Elephas maximus indicus: one gene and its partner. The protein of the gene in region 2 purifies or fractionates together with the protein of the main gene of each other region. This does not show direct contact. Links are inferred from orthologs where the notes say so. Each region holds a gene or a part of one and is shown on either strand. Other genes may lie near its edges.

Region 1 (7,773 bases), on a different chromosome or scaffold from region 2:
CAGCATTGTGGCTGGGTGGCTGTCGTCAAGGAGATGGCTCCAGATAGCACAAACAGCTGGTGTTAGTGACGTTGCCTCAAGGAGATGGCTCCAGATAGCACAAACAGCTGGTGTTAGTGACGTTGCCTCCAGGCTTGGCAGAAAGAAAGTCCATGGTGAGACAGAGATGGGGCAAAGGCCTCTGCCCTGACCCTGAAACTACTACAGTAGCAGAAAAACAACTTTCCACATAGCATATCCTTTGTCCAAATGGTACTATTTTCAGTTTCCGGGTTCACCAATGGGCTTAGCACATAATCCAGGGAAATGGACTAATTGTAATAAGAACTCCTCACAAGGTTTTTCTCCTTTATACTTTCATTTTTTTTGTGGGTTAGTTTCCAAAGTATCTAATTAGATAATGCATCCGTTTGAGCTCAGCATTGCCTTCCTCATTTTATGCATGGGAAAACCAAGGTCTAGCAGAGGGAAGGGATCCCAAGTCATGGGACAATCTGGAGGAGTTTTCAGAGTCAGAGATCAGGTTCAGACTTCTAGCCTTGCAATCATACTGCCTACACTAAGATTAGTCTCTTAGCCAGTTTGAAGCAGTTGCTCAAGTAGTCTGGTGAGCACCATCACTGAAATATTGTTGTCTGGATGTACACCTCACCTTTTAATACTGAATTCTAAAGTGGAGAAAAGCAAATAGGGAAGACAGGCTACCTGAAACAATTAGTGTTAGAGAGACCTTGGCTCAAATCTCAACTCTGCCACATACCCGTAGTGGGAATGAAGCCTCCGCCAAGACTTTCCCCTGCTCCCCCAGCTCTGCCGCGGTTCCCCGCATCCCTTGCAGCTTCTACTGTGGTTTGGCACGCTGCGGCCTTAGCCACAGTTTGAGTTTGGTGCCAGAATCCTGTGCATGCATGAACCAAGGTTTTGGCACGTGCACAGGACCTGAAGAGCTGTGTCCTCAATCTGTCCTTGCACCTGAACATCACTGATGTGATTCAACATCCCCACCTCCAAATAGGGATGTGGGAGGGCTAAGGGCAGAGAGTTCCAGGCACCAACCCCAACCCCCAGACTCCATTGGAAATAGAAAACTCCCCAACCCCCTCAGACAGTGAACACGTGGCCTTATGATCAATAGACCCTGCATTGCTCCTTGTCTGTGCAGACAATAAATCTCCACCTTCAGTTTCCCTTGCAACTGGTGGTGTGGCATCTGTCTTATTTCGTTTGGCTAATAGGACAGGACAAGAACCCTCATTTTGTTACAGGAGCAAGTTATTTTTACCTCTTTGAGCCCCAGTCTTCTCATCTGTAGGTACAGTGGGGAGAATAGTAGTACCTACTCTGGAGCTTTGTTGTGAGGTTAAATGAGGTGGTACATGTGGTATGTCTGGCGTAAGTGACACATAGATGCTCAAAATGCGTGAGTTCTCTTCCTTATTTCCTTTCTCAAAAGCTTTCATCTGCTAAGTGAAAAGCTAGTTCCTTCATTTGGGAACTGATGATTATTATTCTCAGCCTCTCTCATCAGAATAGAGTTGGTTCATATAGCTGCTGCCAAGTAGGCCCCTACCTCACGATGACTCTGTGCACAAAGGAATAAAACACTGCCTGGTCCTGTGCCATTCTCATGATTGACTGCAGATCAAAGAAAGCATTGTGATCCATAGGGTGTTTTTTTAAAATTTTATTTACCTTATTTATTTTTTTAAATAATATTTCATTGTGGTTTTAGTGGTGATCCATAGGTTTTTAAAAAATATTTTATTTACTTTATTTCTTTTCCTTTTTTTTTGTTGTACTTTAGATGAAGGTTTACAGAACAAACTAGTTTCTCATCAAACACTACCTTGTTGTATGACATTGGTTAACAACCCCACGACATGTCAACACTCTCCCTTCTCAACCCTGGGTTCCTTATTACCAGCTTTCCTGTTCTCTCCTGCCTTCCAGTCCATGCTCCAGTGCTGGCACGCCCTTTTAGTCTTGTTTTGTTCCAGGAGCCTGTTCAATCTTTGGATGAAGGGTGAACCTCAGGAGTGACCTCATTCCTGAGCTGAAAGGGTGTGCGGGGACCATACTCTCAGGGTTTCTCCAGTCTGTCAGGCCAGCAAGTCTGGTCTTTCTTTTTGAGTTAGAATTTTGTTCTACATTTTTCTCCAGCTCTGTCCAGGACTCTCTATTGTGATCCCTGGCAGAGCAGTCAGTGGTGATAGCTGGGCACCATCTAGTTGTACTGGACTCAGTCTGGTGGAGGCTGTGTTAGATGTGACCCATTAGTCCTTTGGACTAATCTTTCCCTTGTGTTTTTAGTTTTCTTCATTCTTCCCTGCTCCCGAAGGGGTGAGATCAGTGGAGTATGGCCACTCAAAGGCTTTTAAAAAGTAGAATGTAGAACATTTTCTTTATAAACTATGTTATGCCAGTTGAGCTAGATGTTCCCTCAGGCCATGGTCCCCACAGTGCTTGGCCCAGCAATTCGGTCCCTCAGGGAGTTTGGGTGTGTCTATGGAGCTTCCAAGACCTTGCCTTGGACAGGTTGTGCTGGCTTCCCCAGTATTGTGTACTATCTTACCCTTCACCAAAGTTACTACTTATCTGTTGTCTATTTTTTAAAAACATTTTATTTATTAAAAAAAAAAATTATATTGCAATTTCACTGGTGATTCACTGGTTCATTTTAAAAGTAGATCTCCAGGCCTTTCTTTCTAGTCCATCTTAGCCTGGATGTTCCACTAAAACCTGTTTAGCATCATAGCAATACACAAAACCTCCACTGACAGAGAAGTGGTGGCTCCACACGAGCTGTACTGTACTGGCTGGGAATGGAACCTGGGTCTCCCATATGGAAGGTGAGAATTCTACCACGGAACCACCACTGGCCCCTAGTCTTGTGTTAAAAAAAACAAAACCCATTGCTGTGGAGTAGACTCCAACTCATAGTGACCCTATAGGACAGAGTAGAACTGCCCCATAGGGTTTCCAAGGAGCGCCTGGTGAATTCAAACTACCGATCTTTCGGTTAGCAGCCCAGCTCTTAAACATGGCACCAACAGGCTTTGTGTTAATAGCTCTGAAATAAACACAGAAAAATAACCTCTAGAGCTGTGAGGTCCTGAGAGGCCCATCCAGTCCAACCTTCTCATTTTAAAGATGTTGGAAACTGAGGCCACAAGAGAAGTGGTCTGCCAAAGATCACAGAGAGTCCATAGCAGAGCCAGGATAGGAACCCTGACACCCCAGCTTCCCTGCTTTTGGAATACTCATTTCATCCATTGAAATTAACACTGGAAAGGAGTGTCAGTTCCAGGGCTTCAAGGAATGCCCCTTCTCTGGGGCAGGGCATAAGTGCTGTGCCATCTAGTTCCTGCCCAACCGTTTTTTGTTTTCTTATTGCTGATCATGGTTGAAGGCCTGGGAAAGATCAGGTGCAGAACTGTGGGCCTTGTTGTCCTCAACAAGAGACAGAGAGGGAGGCAGGAGGAAGGAGAGGAGGGAGAAGAGAGGAGAGAGAAAACAGAGAAAATGAATGAATGTGGGATTACCACTGACTGACCTCCAAAAGATACTCAGGTCATATGAAAATCTTGAAGGATAGGTGTTAGTCCCATTTTCCATATTTATTGACTCTTCATCCACTTAACATATATTTAAAAACCCCTACTAGGTGGCAGGCACAATACTAGGTGATGGGGATATAGCAGTGAACAATTCAGAATACAGTTCCTGCCCTCATGCAGCTTCCAGTTTAGTGGAAGAGGAAGACATTAAAAACACACATAGCAAGTGCTACAAAGGAAGAATATGGGTTTCTAAGAACATCCAAGAGAGGGACCTGATTTTGATTACAGGATCAGGGAAGGCCTCTTTTAGAAAGTCACACTTAAATGCAAGAATGAGGAAACTGGGGCCAAGAGGGGACTTGTTCATGGTTGCAGGAAAAGTCACCGTCCATCCACGCACCTATCTTTCCAAATGGTTTTCATCCAGGACTCTTTTAACAGCCTGCAGAAGAAGGTAGCAGCACTGAGACGGGAATTTCGCTGGACAACCATTACCGAAATTACCTAGGTGTTTAGTGGTTATTATGTACTTTAGGAGAGGCAGCAAGGGATTATGGAGAGCCCTGATTTAGTTGGTAGGAGCTGAGGATCTGGTTCCAACTGACAAACTTACTGTGTATGACTTTGGGTAAGTCATTTCCTCTCTCTGGGCCTCAGTCAACCGATCTTAGACATGTCTGAGCCCTAAAGGCAACAAATGATCGCTAGGTAAAGGATTGGAGTGCGAGTGTAGCTAACCATTTGGCTCACAGGGATGAGTTTATTTGCTTCAAACTAAGCTTGCAAATTACTGTTTGAGTTGGAATTCCACATGTAGGATTTTCTAACACGAGGCAGTACCCGATTATTTGAGTTTCAACTCAAGGCAGAAGCCGTTTGGATGCACACACCTCAAGCTTCGGGTACCAGGTCCAGAACCCTGTGGGTTAGTAGGGCCCTGTATTCGCATATCCCGCTTAAATTAACGGATCAGGGGCAGCTTCGAGCCCTAAATAAAGATGGCGCCTGCGCTGGCATAGATCTGATTGCCCTCATAAAAAATGGCAGCTGGCCTCTCTCTGCCTAGCCTTACTCGCCCAAACGGGGGGGGGGGCTCTGCCCTTAGTTAAGATGGCGCCTGCTTGCGCGTCTCTGCCCGGCTTCTGGCTCCGGACGGCTGGCTTCACTGTGCACGCCCTGGTGACTCCGCCTCGTTTCCGTAGGAAGAAGAGCCGGGAATGATGGCGGCGGCTGCGGTTTGAATTCCGCGGCGCCGCCAGAATCCGAACAAGAGCTGGGTCGGAGAGGGCGGGGACCTCGGGGACTCGGGCGGGTCGCGCGACAACGAGGGGGGACCAGTGAAGCCGCCACTAGAGACATCAACGCCACCACCGTCTCTGTGTCCGTGATGGACTCGGCGTTGGAGGAGGACGTCACTCTCCCCGGGACTCTCAGCGGCTGCAGGTGCGGCCCGGGCGCTGGTGGTTCGCGGTAACTGGGCTGGTTTTCCAACTGATGGGGGTTTGCTCTAACCCGGCCTTGGGGGTTTGCTCTTGGGGTGTTTGAGCATCTCCGGATAGAAGCCGTGTGTTGTTTGGGTTCCTTAGGGTATCTCTGTGAGGGGCCCACCAGCTGATACTGTGTGTGAGGGTCCCGACCACAGCTACCTCTAGTATTTCAGAGTCTTAATTTGAGGAGGCTGTGAGGCACCAGTAAGGGGTTTTCTGAAAGAGCAGGAGGAGGGGGCCGTTAGTAGGGGCTGGTTGGGGGATGTGGCGCCCTCAGCAGGGACCTTGAAGGGACTTGATGGTTCATTCTGGTGTGGGGGTTTGCTTTCATTATGGGGAGTGTAATCGATACGTCCAGTCTTTGTGCATAGGGCGTTATAGTGGCCACCCAAGATTGAGGCAGTGGAGTGCAGTGGTTGAGAGACTGAACTGGAGTTGGGCAGATTTGGATTCAAATCCAGCGCAAATCCAAACTGACTAGCGGTGTAACCTTGGTAAAGTGCCAGTAATCTGCTTTCCCATCTGTAAAATGGGGATAGTAGTAATATCCACCTAACAGGATTGCTGTGAGGATTAAAAGAGATGATGCCTGCCCTGCAGTTTGCTTGACAAGTCTAGTGCCTGGCACATAATTAGTGCTTAAAAAGTGATCGTGTGGTGCCGTTATTATCGTTAATAATAACACAACTTGGGGAATAATGGCCAAGACTGGCCTCCCAATGGACCTGGCCCAAGAGGCTTTTGGAGTCCACGTTGTTTGTTGCTGGAGCCATGGGTCTCACCTTCTGGTAGGAAGGCCTGACAGCTCTGAACTGCATCAGGTCTCAGGCTCCTGATTGGAGAATGGGTAGAAGGAAATGGACGAGAACCTGAGTAAGAACCTTCAGTGTTTCTTCAGCTCTGCAAGGAACAGGCTGCTGCTTTTAGTTAGCAGGTCTTAATTGAAAGGTGACCATGTAATTTATTGTGCAAACCAGGATGCTTCTAAGGGCACTGTTGATATTTATGCTGGGACAGCAGGCGTGAACAGGTCCTATCTTGGGCAAACCTGGAAAAGTGGTTATGCTGTTTGTTGAGAGCCTACTGTATATCAGGCACAGAGCAAGGCCCTTTGCAGCTGCAACCTGATTTCATCCTTTTGGTAGTTTTTTATTCTCTATCTTACTGTAACTACCCCAACATATTGGGGTATTGCCTGTCACCTGGATTGTTGAGGCCTCCTTCACACCTCCAATAGTCCTTTATATTATAGCCTAAAAACTCTTAAAAATGTAAATCTGCTTTTGACAGTCTGCTGCTTTATGCTTGTTAGTCCTTCTCATTGCCCTTAAGGTAAAGTCCATTATCACTCTCTCAGACAACTCTTCTCAAGACGGTGCTGCTGGTCAAGTACTTTGGCTTTGGGACCCAAAGTAGTCTGGATTTCAATCCTAGCTCTGCCACTTAACAGCCCTGGGACCTTGGGCAGGGCATTTGCACTCTGTGAGCCTCAGTTTTCATCATCTGTAAGATGGGCTGGTATAAATCCCAGGGTTGGTATAACGATTAAAATGAGTATGAAGGGGCCTAGCCCAGTGTGCGACCCAGATCAGCAAATGTCCTCGCCTCCCTTCTCTCCTTGCCGTTGCCCGAAACACTCCTGGGTCTCTTACTAATCTCTTACTTCCCTGCTTCAGACCCCCACTGACTACTCTCTGCCCTGAGGGTATAGTTTTTTAATACAGCTTCCAAGGGTTTCATAATCTGGCCCTGTCTTCCTCTCTAGCCTCCTCTACCCTTACTCTCCCTACCCTGACTTCTCCCCACACTGCCAAACTCTTGGTTACGAATGATCTTGCCTTTTCCTTTCTTGCTGCTAGGCCTGTGTGCTTGCTGATCCTGCTGCCTGGATTGTCCTTCCTTCTTCCTTTTGCCTTATCAATGCCTGTTTTTTTTCAGGTCTCAGTTTAGATGTCGTTGCCAGGAAGACTTCATTGACATTTCCCCATCCCCACCTGGGCCTTCTACTCTTTTAGGCAGTCCCACCCATAATTTACCCTATCCCAGGCCTTATTTACTTCACGGAATTTTACTGACCAGCACTATGCACTGGAAACATATGTGAGCTATATATGTAACTTAAAGTTTTCTGGTGGCCACATTAAAAAAGAAACAAGTAACATTAATTTTAATATATTTTATTTAACCCAACATGTACATATATTATCATTCTAACTTGAAATCAGTAGAAAAAATTATTAATGAGATGTTACATTCTGTCTTACTAAGTCTTTGAAATCCAGTGTGTATTTTACCCTTATAGTACTTTGCAGTTTGGACTAACCACTTCTCAAGTGCTCATTGGCCACATATTGCTGGTGGCTCCTGTACTGGGCAGCACAGTTATCGACTGTTAAATGGCCCGTCTCCTATATTATCCTGTGACCTGTTTGAGAATAGGGACTGCATTTTATATAAACCATGGCGGTGTAGTGGTTAAGTGCTACAGCTGCAAACCAAAGGGTTGGCAGTTCGAATCCGCCAGGCACTCCTTGGAAACTCTATGGGGCAGTTCTACTCTGTCCTATACGGTTGCTATGAGTTGGAATCGACTCGACGGCACTGGTTTTTTTTTTTTTAATACATGTAATAGGGGTTCAGTAACTCCTTGTTGAATCACCGAATAAACAATGCTCCTTTGAGGTGACAGTGTAATCCCCCTTTTGCAGTTGAGGACACTGAGGCTA
Region 2 (6,898 bases):
GACCTCTCAGAGGCATTTTTTTCACTTTCAGTGCCTGTACTGGTTTCTCTCGGAGGCTTGGGGAGTATCTGGGGGGCTTCTCGCTAGCTCTGCTCCTTCCCCTGTGGCCAACTCCCAGGGGTGTCCTCTGCCAGCACCAGCCCAGAGGTTGCTGCCCTATCTCAATTCCTCCAGCCTGGCCAGAGCCTGAGACTTCGGTCATTTTTCTCTGCCCTCCTGGCCCCTGCCAATGGTTTAGCATCTTTGGGTGCAGATTCCCCACCCCCACCCCATGGCTCATTCTGGATCTCCGGAGAGGCAGACCTTGTTCTGTCCTGCCCTGGCATGGAGATGAGGGTGTAGGGGGCTGCAGGATACTTAACTGGTACCTAGTGAGGCTTGGGCATTTTCCTTACAGTCGGGCTGGCGTGTGGCAGATGAAATTCAGGTGCCCCCTGCAGGCTTGCCTGGCTACTGCCCCTGCCCCGCCCTGGTTAGAAGAGGACAAATTTAGTGTAACTCCATCCTCTCAGTTTCAGAGCTTCCAAGCAAAGAGGGGCCTCTTTCCCCATCCTATCTCCTTCTCTAGAAGCCCCTGCAAGGCTCGGGGAGGAAGTACAGCTTAGACTGTTTCCCAAAGTGTGACACTGGTCCCACTGGCTGAATGTGGAGTACGCGATGTTTCATTTTTCTAATTACATATGTATTTTAATTTGTGTCAGGGAAAATATATCTGGCCCAGCAATGCCATGACTTCATTTACATTACTGCTCAAGATGGGGTCAAAGTTTACGTCTGAAGAAAAGTGAGTTGTTTTTATTATTTTAAATTAAGAAAGTTTAAGTGACTAAAGCAAAAATCAGGGAGGCGAGTTGAGAATGTCTGAGTTGTGCACTTATGGGATCCAGGCGGATCTGGATGTGAATCCTGCCCCTGTGACGTCACCTACGTCAAACTGAGCAAGTCCATTTGGAAAATTCGGCTAATAGCCCATTATGAGTATCACCTGAGCAGATCGATGGAGGCTGTTTAACCTGGCACACACTAGATGCCCAATACACAGTGGCTCTATTTCCTTGTGACAGTCCATTCCTGGGTGTCTTTTGGTCTGTGCTCTGAGAGAATTAGCAGTTCCTTCCGGAGCCTTTTGGGGATCCTTTTCCCCTTGTGGCTTCCCACCTCCCCGCCGCACGTGCTTGGTACACTCTGAAGGTTTTCCGGGACTATGTCATCTTCCCAACTTTCAACTGAGCCACTGCAATATATAGCTGCCTGCCTCCACCTGCCACCTCCCAGCAGCCTCACCTGCTGAGAGCTGGCCCCTCCCCCTCTTCCCAGTCCCCTCCATGCTCAGGCCCAGACCTTTTTTGGACACTACCCACCTGCTCCTCTGTCATCAAGCGCTCAACTACAGGCACTTGCCTCCCTGTCCCCCGCCCATCGGTGACATGTCAGGCCTCCCCGTGGACGCCTGGTTCCTCTGAGTTCTGCTATTTGTAGGAATAAAGTTCCCTGGTTTGCAGGCCCAGGTCTTTCTGGGAGGGGGCATTCAGGGAACTCACGCTGTTGTTTGAGACCAGGAACTAGGGACAGCGTAGTTGGACACGAGCTCCCTTCTCAGCTCTATTTCTGGGTAACTGGAAGGGACTCTCAGGTGGGGTCTAGCTTTAGGCCTGAGTGACAATTGAGGAGCTGGAGGAACTGGGGAGGGGGCTCGAGGCCATTTCTGAAAGCAGTTCCAGATGTGGAATCTCTCTCTCTGGCTTGAAAAGGCCAGCACAATGTGAGGGTGGGAGGGAAAGAAACAAGCCTGTGGCTGGGCCTTGGGAATGACCAGAATCTGTCTGTCCGTTGGCAAAACAAGGCACTAGATGTCACCCACTACTCTCCCCAACTGCCCCATCCCCTTTCTCACCAGCCCAGCTCAAGCCGAATGAGCCCTTGCTAAAGCCAGGCACTCTTCGCCCCCCCACTTTTCATCCAGCGCCAGGAGCGGGTGAAGCAGCCCAGGGGACCTGGTGAATGACGGAGCCTTAGTTGTGAAACAACCATTTATTGAGGGGCCCCCTCCAAGAGCCTGGAGCTAGGCTGCCCAGCAGGAAAGCGGAAGGGGCTCTGCAGCTGCCCCCACTCCCACCCCACCCCCTGCAAAAGAGGATGCAATGAATCCCAGGAAGACTGGCTCAAATTTGTCTTTGGAAGCACTGAAGCAGTTCCCTAGCTTCATAAACAGCCTGCTCTCCCAGCCAGGGGCAGGCGCTTACTTGGAGGAGGGAGCAGAGTGGCAGAGAGTGACAGAACAAGAGAGGGGCAGAGGGACCCAGAAAGATCCTGTCCCCCATGCCAAGTGACACAGAAGAGAAAAACAATGCTGGAGGTGGCTTCAGGGGAAATGCTCAAGGATGGCAGGGGGCTGGGATAAGGTGAAAAGGGAAAGGGCAGGAGAAAGATGGCGGGGGCTGGAGGGGGGGAGGGGTGTGGTCACCAAGTGGCCAAGGTCCCTCTGGGGTGGAAGCAGACCCCACAGCACTCCCAGACTGCCAACTCTGAGTCGGGGTCTAGCAGTGCGTCCCATCTCTGTGAGTGGTGAGTGAGAAAGTGGGGGGATTAGAATTTGGGGAGATGGGCCAGGAAGAGAGGGGGTGGTGACAGGGCTCCATGTGGGGCCCCAGCGGTCATACGTGCCATGGTTGGCAGTGACAGCTGGGTGGGGGGGCACTGCCTTTGCAGTCGGGGGCGGCCTTTGGCAGGGGTGCCCCTATGGGAGGTCTCCTGCGGGCCTTCGGGCCCCAGCCTTGGACAGGCAGGGGCGCTGGGGAGAAGGAGCGAAGAATGGGGGGGGTGCGTGGGGGAGGGGCCACGCGGTGATGGACAAGGAGGGGGCTGGCAGAGCGGGGCCGCGATCGGGGTCACGGCCCGGGCACTCACCGCTCTCCTGCTCGCTGCCCTTCTTGGCGGCGGCGGCGTTGCCCATCGCGGCGGCGGCGGCCCGGGCCAGTCCCGGAGCTGCGGCGCGGGGGGTGCTGGCGGCGGCCGGCGGCCCCGGAGCGCGCTGGGCGGCGGCGGCGGCGGCCCCTTGGGCTGGCTGCGCTGGCTGCGGCGCCGCGACCCCCGCCCAGCCCCTGCTTCCCGCGTCCCTCCGCGCCCGCCCGCCCGGGAACCTCAGCCCAAGTCCGCTGCTGCTGTCCGTGACGCCCCCGCAGCCCACCGCCCATTGGCCAGCGCCACCCTGACTGACGGCGCCGCGCCGCTGTCTATTGGCCCGCCACGACCCTTCCGCGCCGCCATAGGCTCTCGACCCCCTGACGCGCTCCGAGGATGCTCCGCCAGTCGCGCGGTCGCGAGGCCCTAGCTGGGCGGGCAGACGAGCCTAATTGGCTGAGGCGCGCGACAGGGCCCGGGGCCCGCCCAGGGCGGGCGCCGATTGGCGGAGGCGAGCGGTCCGGCAGGCCTCCTGCAGAACCTCAAGTGTCAATCCCGGGGTGAGAGGGCGGGGCGGAGGCTCAGTCCGCTGTCCAGGCCCGAGCGGCAGGCGGGGCGGCCAAGCTTGGTCGGAGGCCGCACCGCGCTCGGAAGCCCACGAGGCGGCCCGGAGGCACCGGACGGCCCCGTGCGCGCCGCAGTCCCCCGCCCCTGCCCAGTGCGGCAGCGGGCGCCGGCCAGCCAAGTTTGGCGCCGCGGGCCGCCGGCGCAGCCGCTGTCCACCTACCCGGGGGGAGGGGCGCGGCCGGCGCCGAGGGTCAGAGGTCGCCGGGCCGCCGGCCACCGTCATTCATAAGGGCTGGTGTTGGGCAGCAGCGGCCAGGCCGCCCGGGGTCGCCTCCAGCCACAGCCCAAGCATCAGAAGGATGCTGGGCTCCGGGAGCAAGGGGGCGGCTGAGAGGGGCACGCAGTGTCCACCCTTTGCTGGGCGCCCACCCTGGGCTCGTACCAGCAGAGAGTTGGCACTGGTTCACCTTATTACTTCGCACAACATTCCTATCATGTAGGCACTATTATCCCCATTGTACAGCCAAGGAATCGGGGGCACAGCCAGGCCTCCTGGATTCAGATTCCCTGCTGGTAATCACCACTCTGCATTCCTTTTGTCTGGAGAATGCAAAGGGAACCTACCCTCCCGGAGGATAGAAGGGGCAAGATGTCCTTCTTTAGGGTGCCCTTTTAATATATCACAGCCTGAGGATGACAGTAGAGCTGGGTTTACCAATGCTACCCGACTGACATTTGGGGCTGGATGCTTGGTGTGGGGGCGGGGGGCTGTCTGGCTTCTACCCACGAGGTACCAGAAGCACATACTTCCTCCCTCCTGCCCCCACTGCTTACAGCCAAAGTCTCCAGAAATTGAGTTGAGAACCACTGAAGTGGAGGAAGGCCCCCACATGAGGTGCCAAGAGAGGCTGGGGGCTGGACCAGCCAGCTCCCCTACTTTGGAGGGACTAGTCCAGTCTCAAGTCCACAAGCTGACTCATTGCTCTGCTTATGGACTTGGGCTAACTGCACACAGTTGTCTGCACGTCTCCTCTCAGGCTGACCACCAGCCCCAGGGAGGGAGAGTTTGGGCTTCTCTGAAATACGGGAAAAAGGCTGGCCAGCCAAATACTAGTGCAGGCTGTGGAGTTACATAGTAAGGTTAAGTTGGATTTAATCAAGTGTGGCTTTGTGTATATACTTGGATCACAATGTAAAAGTTAATTTCTTCTTGTGGGCCAGGGTCAAAGTCTGAAATCACTGTTCATCTCTATCTCCAGATTTGACACTCTCCCCAAAACTTAGTCTGGAATACAACTATACAACCAGCTAGAACTGGAGTAAGAAGTCAAGCAAGGGGGCAAGGGACACCCAACTCACTGAGTGGAGGAAGAGGCCAACCCCACCATTAGGAGGATAGGATGGATGGAGCTGTCCCTGCTCGCCTGAGACAGAAGCAGAAACAGCCTCAATGAAGTGCTTTTTATTTTTAGCGCAACCAAACATTTTTAATATAAAAACCCTTTAATATACAAACTGCAATCACAACAGCATCCATGTAGCAGCGAGGGGATAGGGCAGAGGTGGAGAGCATTCCGGGGAGGGAAGATTTTCAGGATCCTGACAGCTTCCCTTGCCCACACTCACCTGTGGCCCATGAGTGTGTGCAGTCTTGGCAGAGGACAGGTCAAGGCTGGCAGAGGTAGAGGGGCTTGATGCCAACGCCAAAACAGAGCACAGCAGACCCTTCCAACATGCGACCTCCCCACCACTGAAGTCTCTAGAGAATGCCAGGTCCAGTTAAGAGGTAACAGGAAGGTGGCTGTGACTGAGAAGAGAGGCACCTGCTGGTCACACCTTTAGGAGCTGCGTTTTCTAGAGGCTGCTGGGTTGGGAAGAACCAAAAATCTGGGGAGGACAGACATTGTATCTGAGTCCACATCCGAACCAGGATTCCTTGCCTGTGACTCCAGAAAGCTGGGGGCTCTGTTCAGATGTTTGGGAAGGGGAAGGAATGGCAGAGCCTTTGATCCAAAAGGGCTGGAGCCTCGCCAGGCACTGACCAAGAAAGCCTCAGGCAGGCCCAGGAGGTCTGTGGGAAGCAGCTTTGGGTCAGTGGTACTCAAGGGAGCACAATGGCCTCCAGGTGAATTTATAGTGTGTGTGGAACAGTGAAAGGGGATAGTCAGAAAGAATGAAGAACTAAGTACCTCCTTCTTACAGGCCTGTGGAGTAGATGTGAGATGATCCTTCTGGGCCAGGGCTGGGAAAGACCCAGGGCCTGTTCTTTCCATGGGGCCCAGTCTGATTCGATGTAGGTGACAGCCCCAAAGTTCTCCAGATGTCCCACATGACTCTCCAGGAGGCCCAGGTGCCTCCTCCAGGTGTGCCAGGAAACTGGTCTGGGTCCTGGCTGAGCCCAGCCAGGGCCTGAGCTCCCAAAGTTAGATGCAGTCCATGGAATTCTCAGGGAGCAGGCCAGGGATGCAGCCAGGAAGGCCCAGGCCCTTGACAGGAGTGCAGCTGAGGGGGAGGCCGCTGCTCAGTGAAAGGTCCTGGTTGTCGATGGCCTCCAACCTGTCTGTGTTGTTGTCCCAGTTGATGTGAAAGCGGGTCACCCGGGGGTTGGAAGCCAAGATGTTCCGCTGGAGCTGGGGCAGGAAAAGGAGCATCAAGTCTTGTCACGTGCCCCCTGTTACTCCCCCAGAGCCAGGGCAACCCCAGCTGCCACCCCAAGCCCAGGAAGAACAGGCCCTGCTTAGTTCACCAACCATATACGGAACTTCAGGGGAAGGCCCTGTGCTACCGCTTAGCACTACCTACTCTCAGCTCCGAGGCATGTCTCTGGAAACAAAGACCCTTTCTTTCCTAGCCTGGCTCTGCAAGAATCGAGCATGACTGAAAACCCGGGCTCCCAATTCTAATGACTCAACTCCCCCAGTGTGAAGGGGCCACCTGGTTGAAGCAGGAAAGTGCAGAGACAGCCCCTACCTGAGAAAAGTCTGGCTTCAGTGGTGGGTTCTCCCGCAGCTCAGGGTTGGGGTACTCGTTGTTGACGTAGTAGCCCACGCGGATGAACTCCTGCCCATGGTAGGTGCAGGTGATGAGGACCACGGTCACACCCACGGCATCGGTCTCAGGAATGAGGGATGGATTGGGGGCATCGGCCTAGGGGAAACACATCCTGGGCCTTAGCATGCAATAGTTGATGGATGTTAACAATGATTCCTGAGCAACAGGGATTTACCGAGCAAAAAGTATGGTCTCTGTCCTCAGAAGTTTACAATCTAATGAAGCAAACAGAGAATCAATCACACAAACGACTGTAAAATTTTGAATGTGACAGGTACCGGGAGGTGTTTACCAGATGTTTCCAGCAGAGGTCCTGAGGCATCAGGAAGCTACTTGGTGTGGGCAGTGAGCAAGGCAAAGGTGGTATAGGTTGGCAGTG

What was found. Proteins that work in one complex are often made in the same cells at the same time.
Region 1: the proteins of PRKACA (region 2) and CDK5RAP2 purify together in Homo sapiens (affinity purification with mass spectrometry; 6 studies listed by BioGRID and IntAct, with this or other methods). This does not show direct contact. The link is inferred for Elephas maximus indicus from reciprocal best matches to the Homo sapiens genes PRKACA and CDK5RAP2.

The regions. Positions count from the first base shown.
Region 1 is NC_064827.1:70,482,776-70,490,548, reverse strand, and holds the start of CDK5RAP2 (CDK5 regulatory subunit-associated protein 2), read left to right. Parts: upstream 1-4,757; 5' UTR 4,758-4,947; coding exon 4,948-5,003; intron 5,004-5,303; exon of another isoform or gene 5,304-7,773. UniProt on the Homo sapiens protein: Potential regulator of CDK5 activity via its interaction with CDK5R1. Negative regulator of centriole disengagement (licensing) which maintains centriole engagement and cohesion. Involved in regulation of mitotic spindle orientation.
Region 2 is NC_064821.1:32,762,622-32,769,519, forward strand, and holds the start of PRKACA (cAMP-dependent protein kinase catalytic subunit alpha), read right to left. Parts: upstream 3,020-6,898; 5' UTR 2,954-3,019; coding exon 2,908-2,953; intron 1-2,907. Other genes in the region: histone chaperone ASF1B, read right to left, coding at 5,892-6,098, 6,439-6,615.